Linked DNA regions of Drosophila melanogaster. Each later gene encodes a partner of the first gene's protein in a complex. Each region holds a gene or a part of one and is shown on either strand. Other genes may lie near its edges.

Region 1 (5,842 bases):
AAACGCATAGTGTTGACTATTGTGGAAAAAACCCAGAGCGAAAGGCCGCCAAAAAGAAGTTGGCAATAAAGCAGGCGGGGATTGAGTACCGAATCCAGCTGGGCCATAAGGTGCTCGAATTTGATTTCAATATTAATTCCAGCCGTGCGAAAGAGACAGCGCGTCAGCCGAGTGCGAGAGGGAGAAGCAAAAGCAAAGGCAAAGGCAGAGGCAAAGCAGGGTTGTCGCCGGGAAAAAATCATATTGTTAAAGTAGGAAAATCAAAGGCTACTGTGAAATCTTCAGATCTTCAGATTTTGCCAAAACAGGTCGTAAGTGATCAAAACTTATTCAAAGCCAACTCGATATGAATGCCAAGCGCGTGAAGTATTCCATGGTGAAGGAGGAGATCGTGCCCGTGCTTATCGAGCAAGATACCGAGGTTGATCCCGAGGAGGAGCCCGAGGAGGATGAGGAGCACGTTCAAGAAGATGACGGCCAGGAGACGCAATATACGTATGCCTATACCACCGGCGACGACGATGACACCGAAACTGCGGTGGTGACCCTCAGCGATCGTGACCACGAGGCGCTGGTCAATGCCGAGGAGGTGATTATCGATGAGAACGGTCACGCGGTGACCCTGCAGGAGCTGGTCGAGAACAGCACCGTCGAGGAGGAGACCATCGAACAGGGCGATGGTACACACACCATCCTTCATATTGTGCCCAATATTCATGGCGAGGAGGTCGAGGAGGATGAAGAGCTCGAGGATGGCGAGGAGGTAGAGCATGACGATGAGTTTGTCACCGTCGACCACGAGGGCGGCGAATTGGAGGTTGAAGATGACGAGGTGGGCTCTATTGTGTTCGAGAGTACCATCGACCATGCCGAACAAGATCCGTATGGTCGCAACAAGACCTTCTACTGTCCCAATTGCGGCAATTGCTACAGCGCCGCCGGCTCCCTGAAGCTTCATATGCGCGCCTGCCTGCGGCAGAGGAACGAGATCTCCACCGATGAACGCAAGTGCAAAGTGTGCAGCAAGGTCTTCAACTCGGTTGCCTACCTCAAGGAGCATATGATGCGGCACACGGGCGAGCAGCCCTTCCGCTGCACCCGCTGCTATCGCAAGTTCGTCGAGGAGAGCAAATTTACCGCCCACATGGAGTCGCACAAGCACCAGGACAAGCTCGAGGCCGAAGCGGTGGCCCTGGCCGCCCAGCACGGCGGCAAGAAGGTGGTCGTCAAGGAGTTCCAGTGCGCCTTCTGCTCGCAGAACTTCACCGTCGTCTTCGATGTTGGCCAGGTGAAGAGACGCTATGCCTGCGACGCCTGCCGCGATAAGTACTCTAATGCGGAGGCACTGCGGCAGCACAAGCAGCAGGTGGAGGAGAAGCGCGAGTTCAGCTGCGTACGTTGCGGCCGCAAGTTCGTTTTCGAGGGCTTCCTACAGCGCCATCTGCCCACCTGCGATGGCAGCATCAAGCGTCGAAGGGACATGAAGTAGAGGCGGCCACAACGTGATGAGCACTGGCGGCGTCGGCAGCAGCTGGAGCCGGAGCGTGATGAGCAGAAATCGCCGCCGCCAGTGCGTTACGTTGTTATCAAGCAGGAGTACGTAGATTAGGAGCAGTAGGATTAGCTGGAGCACGAGCTAGTTTCTAATGATTCGCCCATGCAAAACTCGGACACTAGCCGCCCGGGCCAGGAGAAAGGAGCAGCTGCTGTTTATCTACACGCAAACATAAGTCCACACCCATATTGTATTTTTTGGGAGCCACAACGGGGGCCACTGTCGTCAAGCGATTCCAAAGGAAAGGGTTTATCTTTTACCTAGTTGTACACAAATCCACACACACAGTTGTTTTTTTTTTTATATGATTTCAGGCCAACTCTGCGGTTTACAATTGAAGATAAAAGCATGTCGACGGATGTCGATCATGGCCCATGTATAGATATATATTACTTACTTATAATTACGACTACTTAATGTTAGAGCTCACGATCACCCGCTATTGTGTAATAACCCGAAACTCCAAATACTGACACACAAAACGAGCGTCAAATCGATGTTGAATTCAATAAAAAATAAAAATAAAATAAATCAAGAATGTTTTTCAATGGCTCAAGATTTCTTCATTGCTATTTTAATAATCCCTATTGAATCATAAGCATTTCGTAGTGTTTTATGTTGTGAATTTATTATTTTTACTAAGCAGCAGATTTTCAATTAGATTTTAATTTGGTGACACAGCCAACTGGGATTCCCCGCTGTTGGTGCCACCAAATCCATCTAATTTGGCCATTTTTGAGCACTGCCCGTGGGCTATATTGCAGCTGGACGGCAACGCCCCCGGTTTGGTAAAAATCTCTGGCTACCTCGGGTGGTCCAGCACAGGATTTGGATTAAACACACACAAAGAGAATCGGTATTTCAGCCAATCTGATCTGACATTATAATTGGTCGATACTTTCTTTTTTTGGCGCTTAGGCGGATGATCTACAAACAAAAAGGTGCGTGCTTAGGCATTAACTAATCCATTAACTAGGCCGATTTAGGACCAGAGCTTCAAGTGGGCACGCTTGGCGTACGACTTCCAGTCGGAGTGGGCGTAGAACTCCTTGAAAATGGGCGTGACCAGGGTATCCTCGGGCAGGGTCTTGAAAACGGGCTCACCATACCAGGTGCCCACCTCCCAGCCGGGCACGTTCTTCATCAGCTCGGCCTCCTCGTCCCGATTGCGTCGCAACTGGCGCAGGAATTCGCGATCCCGCTCGGCGACCAAAATGGGAAAGATGACATTCTGGGCGGAACGCATCTCGATCTCGTCGCGCTTCACCTTCTTGGCGGTCAAGTAGTAGATGCCCAGGCCAACGGCTGTCACAACCACATAGGTGCCGATGGTGGTGAAGCCTGCCGAGGGATTGATATAGTTACCAGCACATATATGGTTAGATCAATGGGATTTGGAGGAGCTCACCTGTGAAGTAGCTCTTCGGTGGCACGCGGGCAAAGGGTATCTTCTTGTAGCCGCCCGGCGGTGGAAGGTCCTGTTTCGGGGGACAATGCGGCACTGCCGTCGCCATGGTGACTCCTCCTGTGGTACAAAGTATATATCAGTCGGCTGTTTGGCCGGTAAACTGGGACTTACGCTCGAATAAAGGGAAAAAATCTGTTGAATTGTCAAAAAAATGACGTTTTTTGCATAACACCAAGGCAGTGTGGCCTGACTTGGGGCAGGGTAAAATACCAAGTAGTGACGAAAATATACCAAAAAGTGGCGAATACTGCAAACGAAGTTGAAAAATATTTTCTAACGTGAAAAGTTGAGTCAATTTATTTGATTTATATTATATTATTATCGAAAGACAATCACAACAACAAGTCACAGTAGAACGTGCAAACGTTTATACGGTATTACAGTATATACAGTATTCCGAACTGTTTGATACCATCCCTATATTTATCGCAATCGCTTTCCTGTCAAAATAAATTTTTGTATCCTACATCACTAGCTTTCACATTCCCAAAAACAAGAGAAAAAGCGAACTAGAAACTTCGAAATATCGTATATATTTACAGCTAAAAGTAGTAATGTTCGTACGCCGTTTCGGAAATGGCTCTTTGGGCCATCATTTTGCCTTTCAACGACGTTATTTGGCTAAAAATTCTATGTGGGACTCGAAGTCCATTGGGACTCCAAGTTCATTCCGAATGCGTTCCAAAAAGGATAACGTGACTGGCAATCTCAAGGAGCAGCAACAATCGGCGACTCCGGAAACCTTGAACATGCCTGATATGCAGGATGCCCAAGTGAGTTTTCTTTTAATATAAATCTCCCTTCATCTGATTTTTCCATAACAGCGAGAAAGGTGACCAAGACCATATGACCATAAACAAATTTTATTTAATATTTGCCAAGATCTGTTTTTCCAAATTTCGTTCAAAAATGAATCAGTTTTTTGGCCACAACTTTAAAAATATTTGTCCAAATATGGAGTTCCATATCTCGTTGAGCTCGTATTTAAATTCCCTATCAAACTGTATCCACAAATGGAAATTCTATTTTTTGACCATTTTTCGCAAATTTTGATGATGTTACCCCTTACAAAAAATGCGAAAAATTACCAAAAAATTAGTTTTTCCAAATCGGTCAAAAAGTGATTGGGATGGTTAGCCTTCGCAATTAGCTGCTCAAAACAGTTATTCTTTTCGCTTTGTGATCACTTTTAGTCAAGTTATGATTAAAATGCCCATCTATAATTTTGTAATTTTTGCAAAAATAATTTTTTTCGATTTTCCGTCATAAAAGAATCAGTTTTTTTTTGCCATAACTTTAAAAATAATTGTCTGAATACGGAATGCAATACCTCGTCGAGCTCGTATTTAAATTCCCTGTCGAACTGTATCAAAAAATAGGAATTCTATTTTTTGGCCAATTTTTGCAAATTTTGATGATGTTACCCCTTACAAAAAAAAAATTGACCCAAAAATTAATTTCCCTAAATCCTTCAAAAAGTGGTAGGAATCCTAGCACTGCGAATTCGCTACTAAAAGTAAAAAAACTACTAAAACTAAGTAATTAAAACTACTAAATTGTAAACTGTACGACAAGTTTTAACAAAGTTATGATGATAAACGTCTTCGTGAATATCGAACTTTTTATTGATCTGTGGCCTTTTTCGGCAAAGCTTTATTATAAAACTTCAGTTGAAATATGATTATTTTTTACAAAAGTCGGTGTTTGATTTTCCCGCAATAAAAAGATATTTCCCTCACACGACAGTATTTATACTCTATAGCAAACAGACAATGTCAGGGAGCGGTTTAAAATGCATGGAAATGGGGGGTGTCGACTGGGATAGCTAATAGACTTTTTTAAAATTGGAATTGAAAACTAGTCTGCACTCGAGCAAATGTCAATTTATATGGATCTTAGTAGAGCAAAAATGCATCCAAAGCATATAACATCTATTTCAATTAAATAAGTTGCGTGGGCGTTTTTTTTCAAGTACCAGAGCAGGCAGCCCACCTTAAGTGTGACCTTTCTGGGGGAGAGCGGAAAACGCCGTTGCGTGGGAATTAGCGGGTGTTCTTTGCGCTCGTGCCGCCCCTTCCCGCAGAAAATGCGATTGGCGCCATTCAGTTGCCGCGCAGCTGCTAGACGAGAGACCCACGAAAAGAACACTTCACTTCCAGAAAAAGGAAAGCAAATTTTTTTCTGTGTGTGTGTTTTTTTCTAGCCAAGGCGAAAGTGTTTTTCTTCTACTCGCAGCCGTACGTAATCGCATTGCCATGTCGCTCTATCGCATTTCCGCACGGAAATTGTCCGAGGCACAGGTGAGTTCTTCATTTTAACTTTTCGAATTACCCCTTTGCTTTTCGACCAGTGTATCGAATTCCCATGCTTTCCTGGGATCTCTATCCACCTCCTTCCAGTTAGCTAACCGTAAAGTGTGTCGCTTCTGTTGTTAAAACCTTCGTCCTCTCCCCTCCCTTTCGCTCTTCCTCAACCCATCCCTCATCTGATCCTACTCCTCTTTTCCCATCCTCTTCTTCTTCTTCAACACACGTCACGCTGGAATTGAAAAAAAAAGAATTTCCAGACATGTGCTTGCGATTAAGAACTTTATTCTCTTCATTGTTGTTGGCGAATGATAAGTGCTAACGTGTATGCATGTACGTACGTATGTGTGTGCCTGTGTGTATGTGTGTCTTCTAATACATTACATAATCGCCAAATGAAATTCGCCCATTTCTTTTTTTTTTTGGCAACATCGGAATGCCTATAAATAAAAATCTCTATATTCTTTGTGGGTTTAACGAACTTTGTCTCTTTTTGGGCCGCCCGCTTTAAAT
Region 2 (7,016 bases), on another chromosome or scaffold:
GAAGTCGAAGAACTAATGTTACCACCAACTCAACAGTGGTTTAGACGATTTATCGAGTTCACAATGCATTGCCCTACTCAAAGTTTTGGCCGCCGGGGGGCGCACTGTGATCTGCTCCATCCATACGCCATCTGCCAAGATCTTCGAGATGCTCGATGCAGTCTACGTTCTAGCCGAAGGCCAGTGCGTCTACCAAGGAAAGGGGTCCAACATTGTACCTTTCTTGAAGAACTTTGGGCTTTGTTGTCCAATAACCTACAACCCGGCTGACTTCATTATCGAAGTTGCTTGCCTTGAGTATGGCGGGTCCTATCACGAGCCAATGGTAGAAGCCGTGGGCAACGGCAAAGTTGCGCGATGGAGTCCTCCAGCAGTGGAAGGTGAAACAACAACAACCAAAACCGACACCACATCGGGGGCATCGTCGTTTTACGAAAGGGATCAGTTTGACGAAGAGATTAGCCCAAAACTTTTGGAGGCCAAATGTAGCTGGTGGCTACAGTACAAGCTATTGCTTGTGCGTATGCTAATCCAAATGTGGAGAGATAAGGTGAGTGCACTTAGAAAACGACGTAGAAAGGCAATGTAATTTTATTTTTTCCGTAGTCGTACATCAAGCTTAAGTTCTACATGAACATCGTTCTTGCTTTACTGGTGGGTTCGCTCTACTTTGGTATGGGAACCTCGGCCTCTAAAGCGCTTTTTAACTTCGGTTTCATGTTCACCATTGTGATAGCATACCTCTACCTTCCTATGATGCCTGTGCTCTTATATTGTAAGTACTATATTTTAACCTCAAGCAGTAATTCTTAATAATAAATACCTACATTTAAGTTCCCACGGAAATCAATCTGTTAAAAAGGGAGTACAACAACCAGTGGTACCGTCTGAGCTCCTACTACGCAGCAATGGTTACCTCAAAGCTACCATCTATGTTTATTTTGGCCGTTATTTATCTATCCATTGTGTACTTAATGTCCAGCCAACCACTTGAATGGTTCCGCTTTGCCATGCTATTTACAATAGCTTTCGTAACGGCCCTAACTTCCGACAGTTTTGGCTTGTTGATCTCCAGTAGACTGAGCTTAGTGGTAAGCGATTTGGCGCACATTTATTTTTAATATATCCTGATTAGTTCACTTATACTTTAGAATGCAATGTTCATGGGGCCAGTTCTCGCCGTGCCGCTGATCCTGCTTTCCATTTACGGCATTGGGTATGGCGGAGGAACATACATATCCCCTCTTATGAGGTTTCTCATGCATCTTAGCTACCTTCGCCATAGTATGGAAGGCCTAGTCGCATCCTTGTACGACTACGGACGCGCCGACACAATTTGCGAAGACACGGAAATCTTTTGCTCATTTAAAAAGTCGAAAGTTTTGTTAGCCTTTTTAGGATTCGAAAACATGCACTATTTGTGGTCTCTATCTTGCTTGATGAGTTTTTATTTGCTGTTCACCGTAGCAGCATACTTTATGATTAGACTGCGACTGAAACACTCCGAGGTCAGCCCCATTTTTGCATATGTCATACAGCTGTTAACGAAATATTTTAACTTTACTTCGTACAATTACTAACATTAACAACATGGGCGGTTTGACCTCGGTGCTAGAAAAATTATTTTAAGCGGTATTTCAGGGGACAGTCTTAACCTCCCATATTATTTATGGGCTTCAATAATATTAATAAACTATCAAAGTGATATTGGATTCTGAATAAAAGTTTATGATCAAGAATACAAATATAATCAAGGGAACAATAAATTACTATAATTCGATCATATTGTTAACAAGGCAGAAGAAACACTACGAATAAATTATTAAGTACGCATAAAATTGTTTTCACCAAATATGTAAAAAATATTAGTGGGTTTACTTTTTTATGCGATGGCGTAAGTTTATATGTATATCATGGAAATATTAAATATAAACAAGAGAGAATACTATAGTCGAGTTCCCCGAATATCAGATACCCCTTACTCAGCTAGTGTAAATGCGGACGCGAAATTTCATAATTTTTCTGGGTGTGGCTGTTTTGGGCGGTTTTAGGGAGTTGCAAAAAGTTTTTTAGAAAATCGATCTATCGATTTTTACAAGACTAATCAAAAATGAAAAAATTTCAACACATTTTTTAAAATTGTGTAAAATTTTTGAGTGGGCGTGGTAACAAAGGTCAACAAATATCTGTCTCTAGAATCTGTGTGCTGAATCTCAACGTTCTAGCTTTTATAGTTCCTCGACGTTCAAACGGACATGTCTAGATCGACTCGGTTATTGATCCTGATCAAGAATATGTATACTTTATACAGTCGGAAACGTTTCCTTCTGCCTCTTACATACTTTTCAACGAATGTAGCACACCCTTTTACTCTACGAGTCACGGGTATAAAAATATATAGATGTAGATATGCTTCAAATTGCATAAGAGTTAGAATCAAGTCTTGCCCAAGATTAGAATTTAGGATTGAGTTAAAGATCTGCGCCGTTCGTTACCAAACTCTATCTGCCTTTAGACTAATTTTAAGTCAGAACGGCAAAGTATGACTTCGCCTGTTCCCTTGATTCACTTTAAAGTATTCAAATTATTTGGTAGCTCTATCAATTGTGATATGAGCCGTCACAATAAAAACCGACAAAGTTAATTATGGAAATTATTTGAACAACTGCCGTCGCTGTGGATTGGCGCACAGTTGTCTATTTAAGAGGCAAGGAAACTGGACTGCCGTGAATACAGTTGATCGATAGGAGCCAAAGCAGTATGTTTTACGCATTCATAGCACTTGTTTTGGCCATGCTCCACCTGTCATTCGCAGTACAGGTGCAAACGGAGCACACCATTGTGGAGGAATGGAGCTGGCAAGACCATCACAGCAACAGAGACTTGGGAAGCTATAACTACTACACAGCTCTAGATTATGATCAAAATTTCGACGGTGATGAGAATTCAAACGATAATGAATATGAAGAGGATGATGGCAGGGCTACTGCCGCCGGCTTGGACCGGGATGAGGATCCGTGCGAGCGCAGCTGTCCCCGGTACTACCGGCCTGTCTGCATTCTCCGCAATGGCCGCAATATGACATTTGCCACGCTCTGCGAGTTCCACAATCAAGTACGTTGTGCCAACGATCTAAGAAGACAAGGTCATGGCTATGTGGTCCCCATCTTTCAATACCAACATGATGGTGGCTGCTAAACAAAATGATTCATTTAGAGTGGTTTTGCTCAATCAAAGAGTCACATTCATGACCAAAAAACTCGAAATAGCATTTCAAAACATAAAGCTCAAAATTCTTCATTCCCTCCCTGGATAATGAAGATTCGAAAAGCGATGAGGACACAAATATGGATGAATTTGAATGGGATGATTCTCCTACCAGCTTGGACCAGTGTGACAGTAAAGGCTCTCTTATAGGACATCAGCTTGACAACAGATATAACAACTATCAAGGAAAATTGTATTACCTACATAAATAAGATTGTACGGCTCCAAATGTAATTCAAACAAAATAAAATGTGTCCGAGATACAATTCCTTTTAACGTATGTATGTTCGTTTTCATGTTTACATGTCATTATTGTACATATGTATACAGTTCTAATGTTATTATAACTGTATACTGAAACTGTACTTGCGCGACTTAAAACCTACATGTGTATGTCATTTATGTACATACATATACAGTTTGTATGTTATCTTAACTGTATCCTGAATCTGACGGTAACCAAAACGCATGCTTAAAAATGATATGAAGATCGTAACCTTTTGCAATCAAAATTTTAAACACCAATTTTTGCGACTTTGATTGGTACATATGTACATATGTACGTATATAAATATGTAGCTCGCAAGCTCACATTCACACAAACATATGCATATAAATATATTTAAAGAAACAAACAATTTCAATCATTTACCTTTTAACGAATGCAGCATTCCGCGCTGTTGGTACAGCTTATAGGGCGTCATACTAAATGCAATCATGGGAATTAATTTAAACAACGGAATCTTTACCAGCCTCTCTTGCCTGCGATCGCGTACAAATCTTCGACATGCAGATCAATTGCGTTGGTTAAATAGCGCACAGGAGTGACCTGTTGTTTTTGCAAGACCGCTGAGAATAACACTTGGGACACTAATAAAACTACTTCTACTATTAATTTCACTACACTAAGTCCGGCAGCTGGGAACTCCGTCAGATTTGTGAATTTACATTGCTTAGCTCTGCGCAAAAACCAATACGCAAACCGTTAAAGAATTAATCACAATGGCTGCGCGAATAACTGTTGATTGTGACATATCGATATATCGATTGCATTCCCTGGATCTTGGCGTCTGGATAAGACTGTTAAATTCAAATTTTGAATTACTAAAATCTTTACACATTTCTATAAATTACCGAATTTCAGAAAAATAAATATTAATATTGTTGCAAATATCCCATATAGTAGGCGAAACAATACAATAACTAAAAATAAACTGTCATGAAATTTATTGCAATATTCATATGAAAAATGATTTCTTTTAAAGAAAATTGGGTTTCTTGTACACAAATATTTGTAATTTTTTATGGGCGCTGTCTCATTATGTTTTTGTGAAAAACCAGGGTTATGATGACTTTATTTGGTTGTAAAGACATTGCAAATTCTGTTGTTTGTACGATTAAAGTCTTCATTCTGCGCATACCGGTAAAATTATACTTTTCATATTTATCTTTAATATATTTTTGTAAAGGAAAATACATTATCTTATGGTTGGTTACAGAAAATACAAAGACAGAGTGTAATGTACATACAATCGAGTTGTTTAAAACTTTAGGTTTAACATATACAACGCATACAACAAATAGAAATGTTAAAAGAGACAAAAATAAGTTTACAATGGGGACATGAGAATGTTGCATAATTTCTAGGCAACGGATTTAATTGTTTTATACAATTTCCATAGACACCAACATAATTAAGTTGCATGATAATTGAAGGAGGTACTAACTACTGCTTTAATTTTTACTGAACTGACCGACACTATACTATGTATATGCATAACTAAAGCTCATCAATTCTTTTGGAGCTCTCTATTAGGTATATATGCGGGTATTAAGACGACTAAAACTAGTTCCGTGTGAGAAGACTACACACATCAGAATGGTTTAAATTATATAGCGAAGAGCACAGCATAAGTTAGAGAAGAAAGCCCATAAGAGTTGGCAAGCCTATGCCGCCTTCTCCTCTGACTTTAGGCTTTAAAAACGACACTAAAAATTACGTTGGTGCTTGGGTATCTGTTAATTTTGACGCTGATGAATATAAGGATAGCTTCGACCTTTTAGCATATGGTGACTGCGGTTGCAACGCTTCAGCGTCTAGTCAGTTGTCAATCTCCAGAGGCTTGGCCTCCTCCCACGAGAAGCCCGCGCGACCGAAGTGTCCATAAGTGCTTGTTCGCTGGTATATCGGCTGGCGCAGGTTTAGGTCCCTTAAAACAAAAATATAGACAATTGTTATGAAATATTTTTTAGCATCTAGAGTTTGACACTTACTTGACAATCTTGCCGGGCCTGAGGTCAAAGTTTCGACGGATGATATCCAGAAGTTCTTTTTGTGACTTGTGAGAAGTTCCGTAGTCGAACACAGTTATGGAGAGAGGCTCAGCAAGACCTATGGCGTAGGACACTTGGACAAGGCAGCGCTTGCAGAGACCGGCCTTAACCAGTGATTTGGCCACCCAGCGTGCTGCATATGCAGCTGATCTGTCAACCTTGGTGAAGTCCTTGCCAGAGAATGCACCGCCGCCGTGGGCGCCCCAGCCTCCGTAAGTATCTACAATGATTTTTCTTCCTGTAAGCCCAGCGTCACCCATTGGTCCACCGATTACAAAAAGCCCACAAGGATTGATGTGGACAATGGTGTTGGCATCAATGTATTTGGCGGGAATGACTACTTTAACAACTTTCTCCATTACTTCCGAGCGCAGGGTTTCTAACGATATCTTTTCAGAATGCTGCATGGACACTACAATAGTGTGGACACGCTTGGGAACTGCTGATCCCTGATTGAAGAGGTACTCGCAGGTTACTTGTGTTTTGGAATCGGGGCGAGCCCACCAGAACACATCTGAGCGACGCAGCTCAGCAATCTTTTCGTTTAGTTTGTGAGCCAAAACGACGGTTAGGGGCATACATTCCTCGGTTTCGTCGGTGGCATATCCAAACATGATACCCTGCAAAAAGTTTATTTCGCTTCATTAATAATCTCTATCACTAATTAATTAATCATTAATTATTCACTTAAAAGTAACCAAAACCAAAAAGAATCAGTAGCGTTAGATAAATAAAACACATTTGGGTTAGGAAAGGGTAAATCAAGCATGGGTGATAGATTCGGGTATGAATTAATTGTTGCTACTTAGGAGTCAAAAAGTTGTTTACAAAATTATGTTAGTGATGTATATATATGCAGTAGTGTGCCTTAGTTTTGTGTCTGCTATTCTAATTATGGTATCGACTGAAAAGTCAAAAGTTAAATGATATGGATTTGGCAGCTTCAATTAACAAAAAAGACGATCATATGGTTGGTAGGTCGGTTGGAGCAATATTGCAGCGCTATTATGATATAGTGGCAAACAGATGAATTTAAAATTAAATAGCAATAAAGTCGTCATACACTACTTCAATTAGTTACGAAAATATATAAAGGAAACGATAAACAGAAATTATAGAAGTGGCGACAACACCCCTTCCAAAGAGCTTATAAACGCCCTACCACCATGAATATTTTAGTCGCAACTAAATTGCTATCAATAAAAATTAAAAAGATGCGTTGCTCTTCGGAAAGGGCCTTCGATCCCGGCCTGCCGAGACTGCTACTTCTTTACTGCTTCTAAATCACACCTGATCTCCGGCACCGATCTCTTCCTCGGCACGGTTGACATGCACTCCCGCAGCGATCTCAGGCGATTGTTGGTCCAATGCCAACAGCACATTGCACGTTTTGAAATCGAAACCTTTTGTGAATT

Evidence for each region. Proteins that work in one complex are often made in the same cells at the same time.
Region 2: the proteins of ND-B16.6 (region 1) and ND-15 are in contact, whole or in part, in a cryo-EM structure (PDB 8ESZ), measured with the Drosophila melanogaster proteins. Residues at the interface, in NP_001284943.1 of Drosophila melanogaster: Leu79, Glu82, Arg83, Glu86, Phe87, Gln90, Arg93, Glu97, Glu98, Leu101, Met102, Asn104, Val105, Trp108, Gly111, Thr112, Trp113, Glu116, Pro117, Val118, Phe119, Lys120, Thr121, Leu122, Thr129, Pro130, Ile131, Phe132, Lys133, Glu134; in NP_001162841.1 of Drosophila melanogaster: Phe30, Lys33, Asp52, Leu53, Ser55, Asp56, Glu59, Cys60, Met63, Lys65, Gln66, Leu67, Met68, Arg69, Phe70, Ala72, Met73, Arg74, Glu76, Arg77, Gln80, Glu85, Arg86, Phe92, Ala93, Asp94, Pro95, Pro96, Arg97, Val98.

Annotation. Positions count from the first base shown.
Region 1 is NC_004354.4:6,347,159-6,353,000, forward strand, and holds ND-B16.6 (NADH dehydrogenase (ubiquinone) B16.6 subunit), read right to left. Parts: upstream 3,244-5,842; 5' UTR 3,135-3,243; intron 3,081-3,134; 5' UTR 3,070-3,080; coding exon 2,964-3,069; intron 2,897-2,963; coding exon 2,538-2,896; 3' UTR 1,858-2,537; downstream 1-1,857. Other genes in the region: CG3847 (uncharacterized protein), read left to right, coding at 347-1,489; kdn (knockdown), read left to right, coding at 3,578-3,796.
Region 2 is NT_033779.5:111,895-118,910, reverse strand, and holds the start of ND-15 (NADH dehydrogenase (ubiquinone) 15 kDa subunit), read right to left. Parts: upstream 4,186-7,016; 5' UTR 3,920-4,185; intron 3,547-3,919; exon of another isoform or gene 3,199-3,546; coding exon of another isoform or gene 2,794-3,198; exon of another isoform or gene 2,423-2,793; intron 1,942-2,422; exon of another isoform or gene 1,581-1,941; coding exon of another isoform or gene 1,152-1,580; intron 1,092-1,151; coding exon of another isoform or gene 835-1,091; intron 776-834; coding exon of another isoform or gene 607-775; intron 551-606; coding exon of another isoform or gene 37-550; intron 1-36. Other genes in the region: CG4822 (uncharacterized protein), read left to right, coding at 37-550, 607-775, 835-1,091, 1,152-1,580; CG13694 (uncharacterized protein), read left to right, coding at 2,794-3,198; Sam-S (S-adenosylmethionine synthetase), read right to left, coding at 5,369-5,477, 5,542-6,221.